3 linked regions of the Cricetulus griseus genome follow. The protein of the gene in region 3 binds, or shares a complex with, the protein of the main gene of each other region. Links are inferred from orthologs where the notes say so. Each region holds a gene or a part of one and is shown on either strand. Other genes may lie near its edges.

Region 1 (3,744 bases), on a different chromosome or scaffold from region 3:
TGTACTAAGATTTGTGTCTTTGCATCACATGGGCTGCACTTCTGAGAATACCATAATCTAGTCAGACAAATTCCTGTTATAGTTGGGCTGTTTGAAGCCCACCTCGGTAAGTTTCATTAATTAGAGCAGCATACTAAATATATTAATAGTCACTATCCAAATTCTTTCATTCTACTCCCAAAACTAAATGCCCTAAAACAGACAAATACATCTTTTTTGTTTTGTTTATCGAGACAGGGCTTCTCTGTGAAACAGTTCTGGCTCTCCTGGAACTCAGAAATCCACCTGCCCCTGCCTCCTAGTCTTGGGATTAAACGTGTGCACCACCATGCTCAGCCTTCAGCTTCCTTTCTTATTCCAGAAACAACTGCCTAGAAGTGGCTTAGCCCTTAATAAGCTGGGCACTTACCCATCAATCACTAATCAAGTAAATGCCCCACAGAATTGCCTATAGGATAGGCATTTTCACAACTGAGGTTCCCCTTTCTAAGGTGACTCTCACTTGCACCAAGTTGACAAAAAAACTAAGCAGCACAATTACAGTAGTTTAAATGAAAAGTATCCTCCACAGTTGCAGGCATTTGCACACTTGGCCCCCATGTGTTGGTGGGTTGTTTTGGGGGGGGTGGGATGAGGGGATGCAGCCTTGCTGAAGGAAGAATGTCACTGGAGGCAGGCTTTCAGATTAATACCCTCCAACACTTCCAGGTAGCTCTCATTACTTCAAGCTTTCTATTGAAGATGTAAGCACTCAGCGTCCTGCTATTACCATTTCTCCCCTCCACGATGGACTCATTCCTTTGTAATTGCAAGCCTAAAAAAACCCCTTCTAATGGTGTGTTATCACAGCCACAGGAAATAACTAATGCAAACCCTAAAAGGCAATAGTCAGGCCACCTGACCCACAGGTGTGATTCTAAATAATGTACTTTCCCTCTCCAACCTTTACTTTTCTCATGTGGAATACAGTTAACAGGCACCAGTTATTGCACGCAAAGCACTGAGCTGGCCACTGTGAACACACAGCCATCTGAACTCTCTATGACAACTCCAAGGTATGTGTATTAGACCTGGAGCAGTCAGAGATATTACCTTTCACCCACAGTTCCTTCACAGGTGCAAAGCAAGGTACCTGGCAGTTCATGTTGTCCTCTGCTTCAATGAGCTTCCCTCGATACACCTCGCCAGTGTTGGTCTCACAAGTTACGATGTGGCCCTCAGCCTCGTGCAAGACTTTAATCGGCACACCGATAGACATCTTGGCAGGAGTGTTCCTGTGGAAGAGAGAGACAACAGCTGTCTTTCAGAGCTTAAGAAGGACTGGCATACCATACCCTTTGCAAATATGTCAGAGCTGCATTTTCTTTCTTTCTTTCTTTCTTTTTTTTTTTTTATTCTGAGACAGCGTTTCTCTATGGCTTTGGAGGCTGTCCTGGAACTAGCTCTTGTAGACCAGGATGGCCTCAAACTCACAGAGATCCGCCTGCCTCTGCCTCACGAGTGCTGGGATTAAAGGTGTGAGCCACCACCACCGCCCGGCCTAAGCTGCATTTTCTGTGGAAGGAGTCTGACTCTTGGTTTGAAGGAACCACCATGGCAAGGACACACTGCCTTCGAGCTGGGAAGGATGGCAAGCAAGCTGGACAGAAGAGGCTGGTGGGAATGAAGAGTGCCTCTTATCTATTCCCAAACACATGACCCTTTATAGTCACCCAAGAACTATGATATGGACCTCAAAAGCAATCACTGCTTACCTGTAGCTATTCAACTGAAATATAAATTAAAAAGCCCCTCCCCTCCCAGTCACACTAGTAATATTCCAAGTGCTCAGCAGACATAGACCCTGATAAGATAGCAAGGCGTTCACAAAGTGACAGGAAATGCTCACAGGAGCACCATCAGGGTCGACGCTCGATTTAAGCCTCAGTAAAAGACGGAGGCTAAGCGCAACTGTGATGAGCGTTCCCACCTATGTCCATGAGAAGGCTATAAGGATGCTGGGCGCTGTCTCTCTTGGTGAGGAACCACGGCTTTCAACTTAAGGAGTGTGAGTTTTATGCTGAAAACGGTGGAGGGGGGGGGACACAAAAGGGTCATTGCCAAAGGCTCAGTAGAAAACAAAAAGGAATAATAGCAGCATCTGCAGGATAGCTCGAACATGGCCCTTCTGCAGCACAGCGACTCGCTAAGACTCGTGCAGCAGTCGTGGAAGGCAGGGGAGGGCCAGCGCCGGAATCCGAGGGGAGCAGGGATGCAGAGGACGCTGAAAAGGAGGGCACACAGGGAAAGGGGGTATTTCGTGAGAAACGACTGCGGGCGAGCTCCGAAAATCGGCGAGCCGGAAAGGCACAGAACGCGCAGACAGGCGTAAACGAGGAGCTGCTCCAAGCGCGGGTGAGACGGTGTTTGGATCGGCCCAGGCTTCCCGCCCGCCATTAGTGCCCCGCTGAGCTCCTCCGCAGGCTCCCTTCCTGCCCCTAACCCTCCGGGGACGCCTAGGCCTCCTCTTACCGGTTCTCCGCCTCTCCTCACCGGCTCCCTTTCGGCCCTGGCACAAACGTTACACGGCGAAGGCGTGAAGCGAGGGAATGGCGGGCCCGGGGTACCCAGAATACCACGCGTTCCCAGGATACCGCGCGCAGGGCCCCTCCTCTTCCTTTCCCCAGCGGCGAGAGCGCTCTGACGTATGCTTCCTCCTTAACTCCGCCGGCTCGGAAAACGACGGCTCTGGCATTATCGTTCCGGCCCTGGAGAGGACCCGGGGGGCCGCCGGAAGCATCCGTCCTCGAGCCCCAAAAGGAACATGGAGACCCCCCCCCCACTTACAAAGTACTCCAGGGACGGATTGGGCGGGAGCTAGGCTGGAGCCCCAAAATTGCTGTGGTGCCACAGGAAGTGAGGCTTGGACTAGGAATCTAAGCTTTGGATCTGGTCGCCATCAGGTAAGCGGCGCACCGAGCGTGGGAAACTGGCATTTTTCATCGTGTGGCTAAGACCGAAAGGGAGGCAGAGGAGGATTCCCGGGGCGTTTCGATGAGGCAGGCACTGCGAGGGGCCGGCGCTAACACCCGGGGCTGCAAAGGAGCAAGCCGAGCGGAGGGGGTTTGGGAGGAGCCAACGTCGCTATGGAAGGGCCTGGGGGCGGGGCCCGGGAGGGGCGGGGCTTCCGCAGAAGGCGGGCCCTGCGGGTCGCTCTTTATGGGAGAGAAGTGGGTGGGCGAGGAGGCGTGGCCTAGGGGAGGGGCGGGTCTCCAGGCCGGGGACCTGGCAGGGACGAGGCGGGGCTTGAGGCGGCCTAGCCCCCGCCCACCCGGCTCTGAACCGCGGAGGCGGCGGCGGCGGCGGGCGGCGGTGGCGGCGGCGGCGGGAGGAGGAGGAGGAGGAGGAGGAGAGGCGGCGGCGGAACTCTCCCCACACTGGCCGCGCTCGCTGCCCAGCACAAGTCGCAGCTGCGATCAGCTCCAGGCCGGGGCCATGGGCGCCCTGCGCCACCCGGGTCATGAGGACGGAGGCAGAGGCAGCGGGGCAGCCGCTCGAGCCCGGTCAGTGCCTCTCAGAGGGCCTTGCCCTCACCGGGGAAACCGAGGGGGACTCCGCCCTGGAGCTGGGCAGGGTCTGGCCGCGCGACCTTGGGCCGCAGGCGGCCTCAGCCCAGACTGGAGCTTCCAGTGGACCTTAGCTAGGTGGATGGATATTCCTTCTCGTCTCCCGTCCTCCGCTTCTGGTTGTTTCTCGGGGAGTTCT
Region 2 (3,744 bases), on a different chromosome or scaffold from region 3:
ATAAGACAAATTTTAGCCGGGCGTTGGTGGCTCACACCTTTAATCTTAGCCCTCAGGAGGCAGAGGCAGGTGGATCTCTGTGAGTTCGAGACCAGCCTGGTCTACAAGACCTAGTTCCAGGACAGCCTCCAAAGCCAGAGAAACCCTGTCTTGGAAAACAAAATAAAACAAAAAAACAACAAAAAGAGCACCCCACACTTTCTGATTTTTTATTTTGGAGGCTGGCCTCTAACATGATCATGGTGATCCCTCTGAGTGCTGAGATTACAGGAGTTTGTCACCAACTTACTATCATTATGCTTCTGGAATAACCTTTCCTTCAGGCCCCTCAGACTCAGTGCTCACCTATCAAAGGCCTTCACCCGTCCCAGGAGCTTTTTGTTGTTTCGACAGTTAATGAGCACTTGTGTGTTGTTCTTGACCGACTGTGTGAGCACCGAGAGGGGACCAGTGTTGAATTCCTCCTCTTCCCGCTTCTGCAGCTCTTCTGGGGTCATCTCACTCTTGGGTTTATTGAGGAGACTCCTGAATAGAAAAACCACGGGTGAGATGGGTGAGCTTGGAAGTGTGAGTGATCAAAGGCACTGTCCAGTGTCTCCTCAACCTGGTCCCCAAATGTCCTTTTCAGAGGTGGGAGAGACATTGTCTATTTAGCCCGTTCCAGCTGTCTAACCACCAAAACCTCTCCCACCCACGCATTCCCCACGTCTTCACTGATGGCAACTCTATTCAGCGGGTTCTCTAAGCTAGAACTCTACTGTTTAATTGATTTCTGTTTTGGTGACAGGATCTCCTATAGCCCAGGTTAGCCTTGAACTTGCTATATAACTAAGGACGACCTTCAATTCTCAATTCTCCTGACTCCACCTCCCAAGTTCTGGGATTACAGGAGTTCAACATCAAGCCCGGCACTCTCTTAAAGGAAATCTACCCTCACATCTTGTCATCTGCCTCTACGACATATCCAGAACCTGGCTATTTCTATCCATGGCCTAATCTTCCGTTACCTTTCTCCTGGTGCCCGCCATCCCCACAACAATGTCTTACTGTGTAACCCTGGCTGACCTGAGACTCAGACTATCCATCTCTGCCTCCAGACCTCTGGGATTACAGGCATGCTGCCACTATACCCAGAACCCAAGGTAGCCATGTACTCTGCCCACTGAGCTATAACTCCAGCCCAGTGTTGCATTTTCAGTCTTTTTTTTTTTTTTTTTTTTTTTGTGGTAGCTACTCAAATTTCTTCATCCGCACTCTCCATCATCTAACACGTTCTCTGGTCTTCCTACCCCATTCCTTTTACCAGCCCCAGTGAGAAAAACTTTCTCTCGGTGGCACGGACCTTTTATACACCGTGTGTCTAACTTAACAACCAGTCTGTGTAACACCTGCTTGGTGAATAAACACATCAAACCATGGCAGTAGCTTGCTACTCTGAGAGTCTCCAGGCAGATTGAAAAAGCCCCCCTGTCTGTTTTCTACCTTATCCTGGTTAAGTCCCTCATTATGATTTTTGCTTGTTTGTTTTTTTTGGAGAGCCTTTCACTATTTTTTAATAGAACTCCCTTCCCCTGCCGAGACCTTTATCCATTTACGGCTCCCATTTAAAATTACTATTACTTTTGGAAACGGTCTCCATGTGCAGCCCAAGGCTGGGCGCGAATTCACCATCCTCCTGCCTCACTCAGCCTCTCTTGGGCATGTGCCACCAGGCTCAGCTTTCCTCTTACAGCTCTTTTCACAAGACTCAGTACAGAGCAGGGTCCCACGCCCGTTATGCTGTCGGGGCTGGAGAGATGGCTCAGGGGTTAAGAGCACTGGCTGCTCTTCCAGAGGTCCTGAGTTCAATTCCCAGCAACCACATGGTGGCTCACAACCATCTATAATGAGACCTGGTGCTCTCTTCTGGCACGCAGTGTATACATGGTTAATAAATAAATATAACCACATGGTGATTTACAACCATCTGTAATGGGATCTGGTGCTTTCTTCTGGCACACACTGTATACATGGTAAGTAAATAAATAAGTAAATCTTTTAAAAATAAAAATGAGGGGGGCTGGAGAGGTGGCTTAGGGGTTAAGAGCACTGACTGCTCTTCCAGAGGTCCTGAGTTCAAATGCCAGCAACCACATGGTGGCTCACAACCATCCGTAATGAGATCTGGTGCCAGATCTGGTGCCTTCTTCTGGCACGCACTGTATACATGGTAAGTAAATAAATAAATCTTTAAAAAATAAAAATGAGGGGGGCTGGAGAGATGGCTCAGAGGTTAGAGCACTGACTGCTTTTCCAGGGGTCCTGAGTTCAATTCCCAGCACCCACAGGGTGGCTCACAACCATCTATAATGGGACCTGGTGCCCTCTTCTGGCTCGCACTGTCTACATGATGAATAAATAAATAAACTTTAAAAAAAAAGAAAAAGAAAGAAAGAAAGAAAGAAAAGAAAGAAGAAGCTGTCCGGCTCCGGAACTCCAGACCCGTCCTTCCAGGCCCCACGCCCGTCCCCTAACACCTCAGGAGGAACCTCTGCCCCCGCTACGAGCACCCCAAGCCGACAGTCCACCTGCTAAGCCGCCCGCGTCCCTCCCTCCACCTTCGCGTCCCCGCGGGAGCCCAGCCCGGCCTCACATGGTGGAGGTTTCGATCGCAGCTCACTCCCGCCTCCGCCGCGTTGCCGTGTAGCCTCCGGAGTAGAGCGAGCGGAAGGCGGGACTTCCGCCTCCCTCCTCTGGGATCACTTCCGTCGGCGCCTGCGCAACCCGCCCCAGCGGCGTGGGCGTGTCACGTTGCCATAGCGACCCGGCGGCGGCTCTCTGCCGTAGGAAATGCCTGGAGGGAGGATTCCATGTCAGTGAGGATCACAATAGGGGGACCCCCCCGCTCGCGACTAAACAAAAAGGGGGAGCCGCCGGGCCTGGCTCGAATTAACTCCCCGTCTGGGTGGAAGAAGAACGGGGGCGGGGAGGAGGCGGGGACACGACACACAGCTCCGTTTCCAAGCGCGCGGCGCCCGCCTCCTCCTGGGGGGGCGTGGCCTCGAGCGAGCCAATCGCCTCCTTGCTTCAGGGATGGGCGCCGCCCGTTTCTCCTTGATGGACACCTGAGGGCGGCGGGCGCGGCTTCCGCACGGTCAGCCGCCACTCATTGGCTGCGCCTCTTGCGTGGGGGGCGGGCCCTCGGGTCTGCGCACCGCCTTCTGGAGAAGAAGGAGCCAATCGCGGCCGTCTGCGCGACGATGCCGCCGCCGCTCTGCTTCCCTATTGGCTTGCGTAAGCGATAGGGGGGAGGGGCGGAGCCTGGCCTGGACTCAAACCTCAGTCTGGGACGACCGGCTTCGGGGCCCCGCTGCTGCCATGAGTCCCGGGAGCCGCGGGCGGCCCCGGCAGCGGCTCGGGGATCGCGGCGCGATGCAGCCGCCCTCGCTTTCCAAGCGCCGCCTGCTGCCGCGAGTGCAGCTCCTGCCCCTGCTGCTCTTGGCGCTCGCCCTGGGCTTGGCGCTCTTCATGGTCTGGAACGGCTGGCACCCCGAGGTTCAGGAGCTGTCACGCAGCCGGGATCTGCGGGTGAGGCCTGCCTGGGGCCCCGGTCCCTCCTCCGTTTCCCGTGCCGAGCGGGTGACATCTCTTTCTCCATCACTCAAGCAAGCGCACGCCCCTGCCTCGCCGTCCTGGAGATGCAGGCGGTCAGCCTAGCAACGCGGGCAGATCTGAGCTCCGCGCCCCAAGACATCTGTTTGCAAG
Region 3 (3,744 bases):
TTGGTCTTCAACCAAGACCTTCCTAAAAGGCACAGCCTCCGGGTCTAGCTTTCTGGGGTTCCATTTCCCCATCAGGGACCTAAGGTGACCTAGGTAAGGTTTCCACCTGTCCTACCTGTTTGGCACGTTCCTCTTGCTGCATCAGCAAAGCTGCCTGCTGTTGTGCCAGCTTCAGCCGTTCCTCTTCTGATAATGCCACAGGCTCACCGACTCGGAGAGGAGGTGGGGGACCCAAATTTGGTGGGTGAGCCATAGGAAAGCCAAGGCCAAGGCCTGGTGGAGGTGGTGGAGGTGGAGGAGGAGGTTGTAGAGGGGGGAGTCCCATAGGTGGTGGCGGCATAGGAATCCCAGACAGCTGTGGAAAAAAATATATAGCTATGAACTAGAAAGCATTTATTCACTTTAGAAGCATTTTCTAGCTAAAGTTCTAAAGGGAACTAGCAAAAGAGCCAGGCATTCAAAGTCTAGTGATGCAGAACTCAAGAAAATGCACCATAGCAGAATCAAGAGAAGAAAAGGCTAACTTTAGAACACTGATCAAACAAAGCTATTGGGTCCTCTGAAATTGCATTCAATTTAAGAAAATACAAGAACACCTCTAAAGTCTATACAGGCACTTAACAAAACACAAACACACACACACACACACACACACACACACACACACACACACACACACACACACACACACACACACACACACACCCCACCCACCCAGGCCAAAGCCACTAGTTTAGAGGAAGACACTCAAATACTGGATTCCAAAGGAACTTAAACAAATAGGAACCAGTACTGGAGAGACTGGACCAGCAGTTAAGAACTGCTCTTGAATCACAGGGTTCAATTCCCAGCATCCAGATAACAGCTCACAATCCTCTGTAACTCCAGCCCCAGGGTGATCCAAGCCCCTTTATGGCCTCCTGTAATGCTGCATGCACATGGTGTACAGACATGCACGCAGGCAAAACACTCATATGCATAAATATGTGTATATATTCACATACACACATATATACACACACACATATACACACACACACAGATACTATTTTTGAGATACAATTTCTCTGTGTTCTGGCTGTCCTGGAACTCACTCAGTAGACCAAGGTGGCCTCAAACTCAGAGATTCACCTGCCTCTGCCTCCCAAGTGCTGGGATTAAAGGTGTTCACCACCACTAAACTTTAAATATGTTTTTTTAAAGAAATAGAAACCAATGTGCCAGGGCACAGACTGTCAATGAATTACTAAATGCAGGAGGTATATAATAAAAAAATCACAGCATTACCCCTTAAAGTGTCAATGAATAACTTTGGGAGCTATGCCTGATAACAAAACACATGACTACATCCAACTGGGAGAGAACCAAGTATGAATTCTAGGTATTCAAGTTGACTCTTGAATGACAGGTCAAATTTAGAAGAGCAGACATTGCGGACTGATGAATACCGGCACAAAGCCAGAAGTGAAAAGGCCCCAATTCTGTCTCATCAGACCCCACCCTTAATTCACTATATTCTTATCTCCAGTGCAATGCATGGGAGAAAGGTTATCCTGAACAGAATGACCGATAAACAGTCTCTTACCTGTGCTGACATAGGAGGAGGAGCAGCTTTGTCCCCATCTTCTCCCCTTAAAACAGGTCGATTCAGCACAATGCCCGTCTACAAAAGAAAAGAGAACTGTGTGTCAGACTAAGAGGGAACTATTCCATTGCACGGCCTCCTCCACCATTTATTTAACAAAGTGCACCCGATGCCCGTTTGCCAGAGATTGGGGCTGTAACCTTTACAATAAAGCAAAGGCAAAAACTGACAAAACGGTCAAGACCCGACTTGCCGCGATGAAGTACGTAAGAAACGAAGACCCAGCCGGGCGTGGAGGCGCACACCTTTAATCCCAGAGCACTCGGCAGGCAGAAGCAGCCTGATCTCTTGAGTTCCAGGCCACCCTGGTTTACTGAGAGAGAGTTCTAGGACAACCAGGTGTACACAGTAAAACCCCGCCTAAAAGCTTTTTAAAAAAATGTAAAAGAAACGAAGACCGATCCGTGGCCTATCTTAAAGGCCTCTAGGAAAAGTAATCTTCAACTCCTGCCACAACTCACCTGGCGGGTGTAGGTCTGCAGCCGCTCAACCAGCTCCTCGCGACTCCCTGCGGAACCAAGCACAGAATCCGGGGTCAGCACCAGCCGGAACAGCCCGGCTTGGCCAGGTCGGGCCCCAGAGGCCTGTCTCCGCCCCCCGCCCGTGAGTCTCCTGGGTAACCAGGTCCCACTGCCCCGCAAGCCCACGCAGCCCCCTTTGACCGCCCCGGGAGCCTCACCCTGGATCGGAGCTCCTATTTCCGCCAGTTTGGCCTGAAGCTCCTGAGCAGCCCAGGCGCCATAGTGGCCTGGAGGTGGCGGCGGCGGCAACTGCAATTCTCCTTTGGGAGGCTCTGGATGCTCCGCCGCCATCTTAGCCACAAGAAGGCGCGCGACCAACACGGAAGCTCGGATCAGCCACCGGGCCTACTTCCCGGAACTTCCGGCAGAGCACTCCGCCACGTCCCGCGGTGATTGGAAAGCACTTGATTCAGACACCCACTCACTGCCTTTCGCTGGGAGATAGGATTCGCCGCTAACAAAGGCTGCACGGCCTTCTGGGAGTTGTAGTCTACGGTTGCACCGCCTAGAGGCTGGACGCTTGTTTTAACATCCCGTACCCTGTGGTAGATCCGCCGCTAGGGCCCTGAGAAGACCCGGCCCTCCACCCATTGGTTCCTTTCTTCTTCTCCTCACCTGCCCAAACGCATACTAAGTCTTCTGACCCGACACTCTCGGTGATGAGGTACCTGGATGCTTATTCCACCCAGGAGCTCATAGAGACTGCTTTCCGGCGCCCGCCAAGTGGGAGGTTGGAGCCGATGCCTCTGATAAAACAGTGTCCGATTGTTTGCCTGCTCGCTCCCGGCCCAGGCGTGCTTGAATGGGCTGAAAGGGGATCGGAGCCCGTAGAGGAACGGACCCGCCGGGCTGAGTTCCAGCTGCTGACTTGGGGGAAGGGCGATACCAAAATCCCTTTTCCACATTCGAGAAAGGCTTAAGAAAATGCCTTCTCTGCCAAATGTTTCCTCTCCTTTCTAGGAGCTTTCATACCACACCCAACTTTCCACCTTTTGTTTTCAAAACGAAATGTGCACCACTTGCATGCCTGATGTCTGTGGAGGCCAGAAGAGTGTCTCCTGGAACTAGAGTTACAGACGGTTGCAGGTCCTCTGCAAAAGCAACAAGTGCTCTTAACGCCATCTCTCCAGTCCCAAGGTTTTCGTTGTTTAAGTAAGTGTATTACAAATGTGAGCCAATCTATTGCCCCTTTTTGTTTTTTTTGTTTTTTTTTCGAGGCAGGGTTTCTCTGTGCAACAGTCCTGTCTGTCCTGGAACTCGCTCTGTAGACCAGACTGACCTTGAACTCACTTGAGATCCGCCTGCCTCTGCCTTCCAAGAGCTGGGATCAAAGGCATGTGCCACCCGCGCCCAGCTGTCCTGTTTCATTTTTAAGTCTTTCGTACCCTTTATTCCTACCTCCATTCCCAAAACAGGAGCAAGAACTTGATCTTTTTCTATCATGAAGCATCTAGCATCCAGGAGCCACCTAATAAATGATTGTGTGGGGGGGATCTATCCCTGGGATTTTATCTTCTTATAGGAAGAAAACACTCAGACTCTTTTCTTGGGTGGAGACCCCATGACCCTTGCCTGCCA

What was found.
Region 1: Sf3b2 (region 3) and Snrpd3 share a complex: the UniProt entries of both Homo sapiens proteins name them as parts of the minor spliceosome. The link is inferred for Cricetulus griseus from reciprocal best matches to the Homo sapiens genes SF3B2 and SNRPD3.
Region 2: Sf3b2 (region 3) and Snrpd2 share a complex: the UniProt entries of both Homo sapiens proteins name them as parts of the minor spliceosome. The link is inferred for Cricetulus griseus from reciprocal best matches to the Homo sapiens genes SF3B2 and SNRPD2.

Annotation. Positions count from the first base shown.
Region 1 is NW_023276806.1:263,063,514-263,067,257, forward strand, and holds the start of Snrpd3 (small nuclear ribonucleoprotein Sm D3), read right to left. Parts: upstream 2,666-3,744; 5' UTR 2,512-2,665; intron 1,275-2,511; 5' UTR 1,259-1,274; coding exon 1,133-1,258; intron 1-1,132. Other genes in the region: protein GUCD1, read left to right, coding at 3,500-3,542. UniProt on the Homo sapiens protein: Plays a role in pre-mRNA splicing as a core component of the spliceosomal U1, U2, U4 and U5 small nuclear ribonucleoproteins (snRNPs), the building blocks of the spliceosome.
Region 2 is NC_048602.1:28,213,624-28,217,367, forward strand, and holds the start of Snrpd2 (small nuclear ribonucleoprotein Sm D2), read right to left. Parts: upstream 2,789-3,744; 5' UTR 2,635-2,788; coding exon 2,633-2,634; intron 526-2,632; coding exon 346-525; intron 1-345. Other genes in the region: Qpctl (glutaminyl-peptide cyclotransferase-like protein), read left to right, coding at 3,358-3,567. UniProt on the Homo sapiens protein: Plays a role in pre-mRNA splicing as a core component of the spliceosomal U1, U2, U4 and U5 small nuclear ribonucleoproteins (snRNPs), the building blocks of the spliceosome.
Region 3 is NC_048596.1:54,019,834-54,023,577, reverse strand, and holds the start of Sf3b2 (splicing factor 3B subunit 2), read right to left. Parts: upstream 2,492-3,744; 5' UTR 2,458-2,491; coding exon 2,325-2,457; intron 2,154-2,324; coding exon 2,107-2,153; intron 1,664-2,106; coding exon 1,586-1,663; intron 356-1,585; coding exon 116-355; intron 1-115. UniProt on the Homo sapiens protein: Component of the 17S U2 SnRNP complex of the spliceosome, a large ribonucleoprotein complex that removes introns from transcribed pre-mRNAs.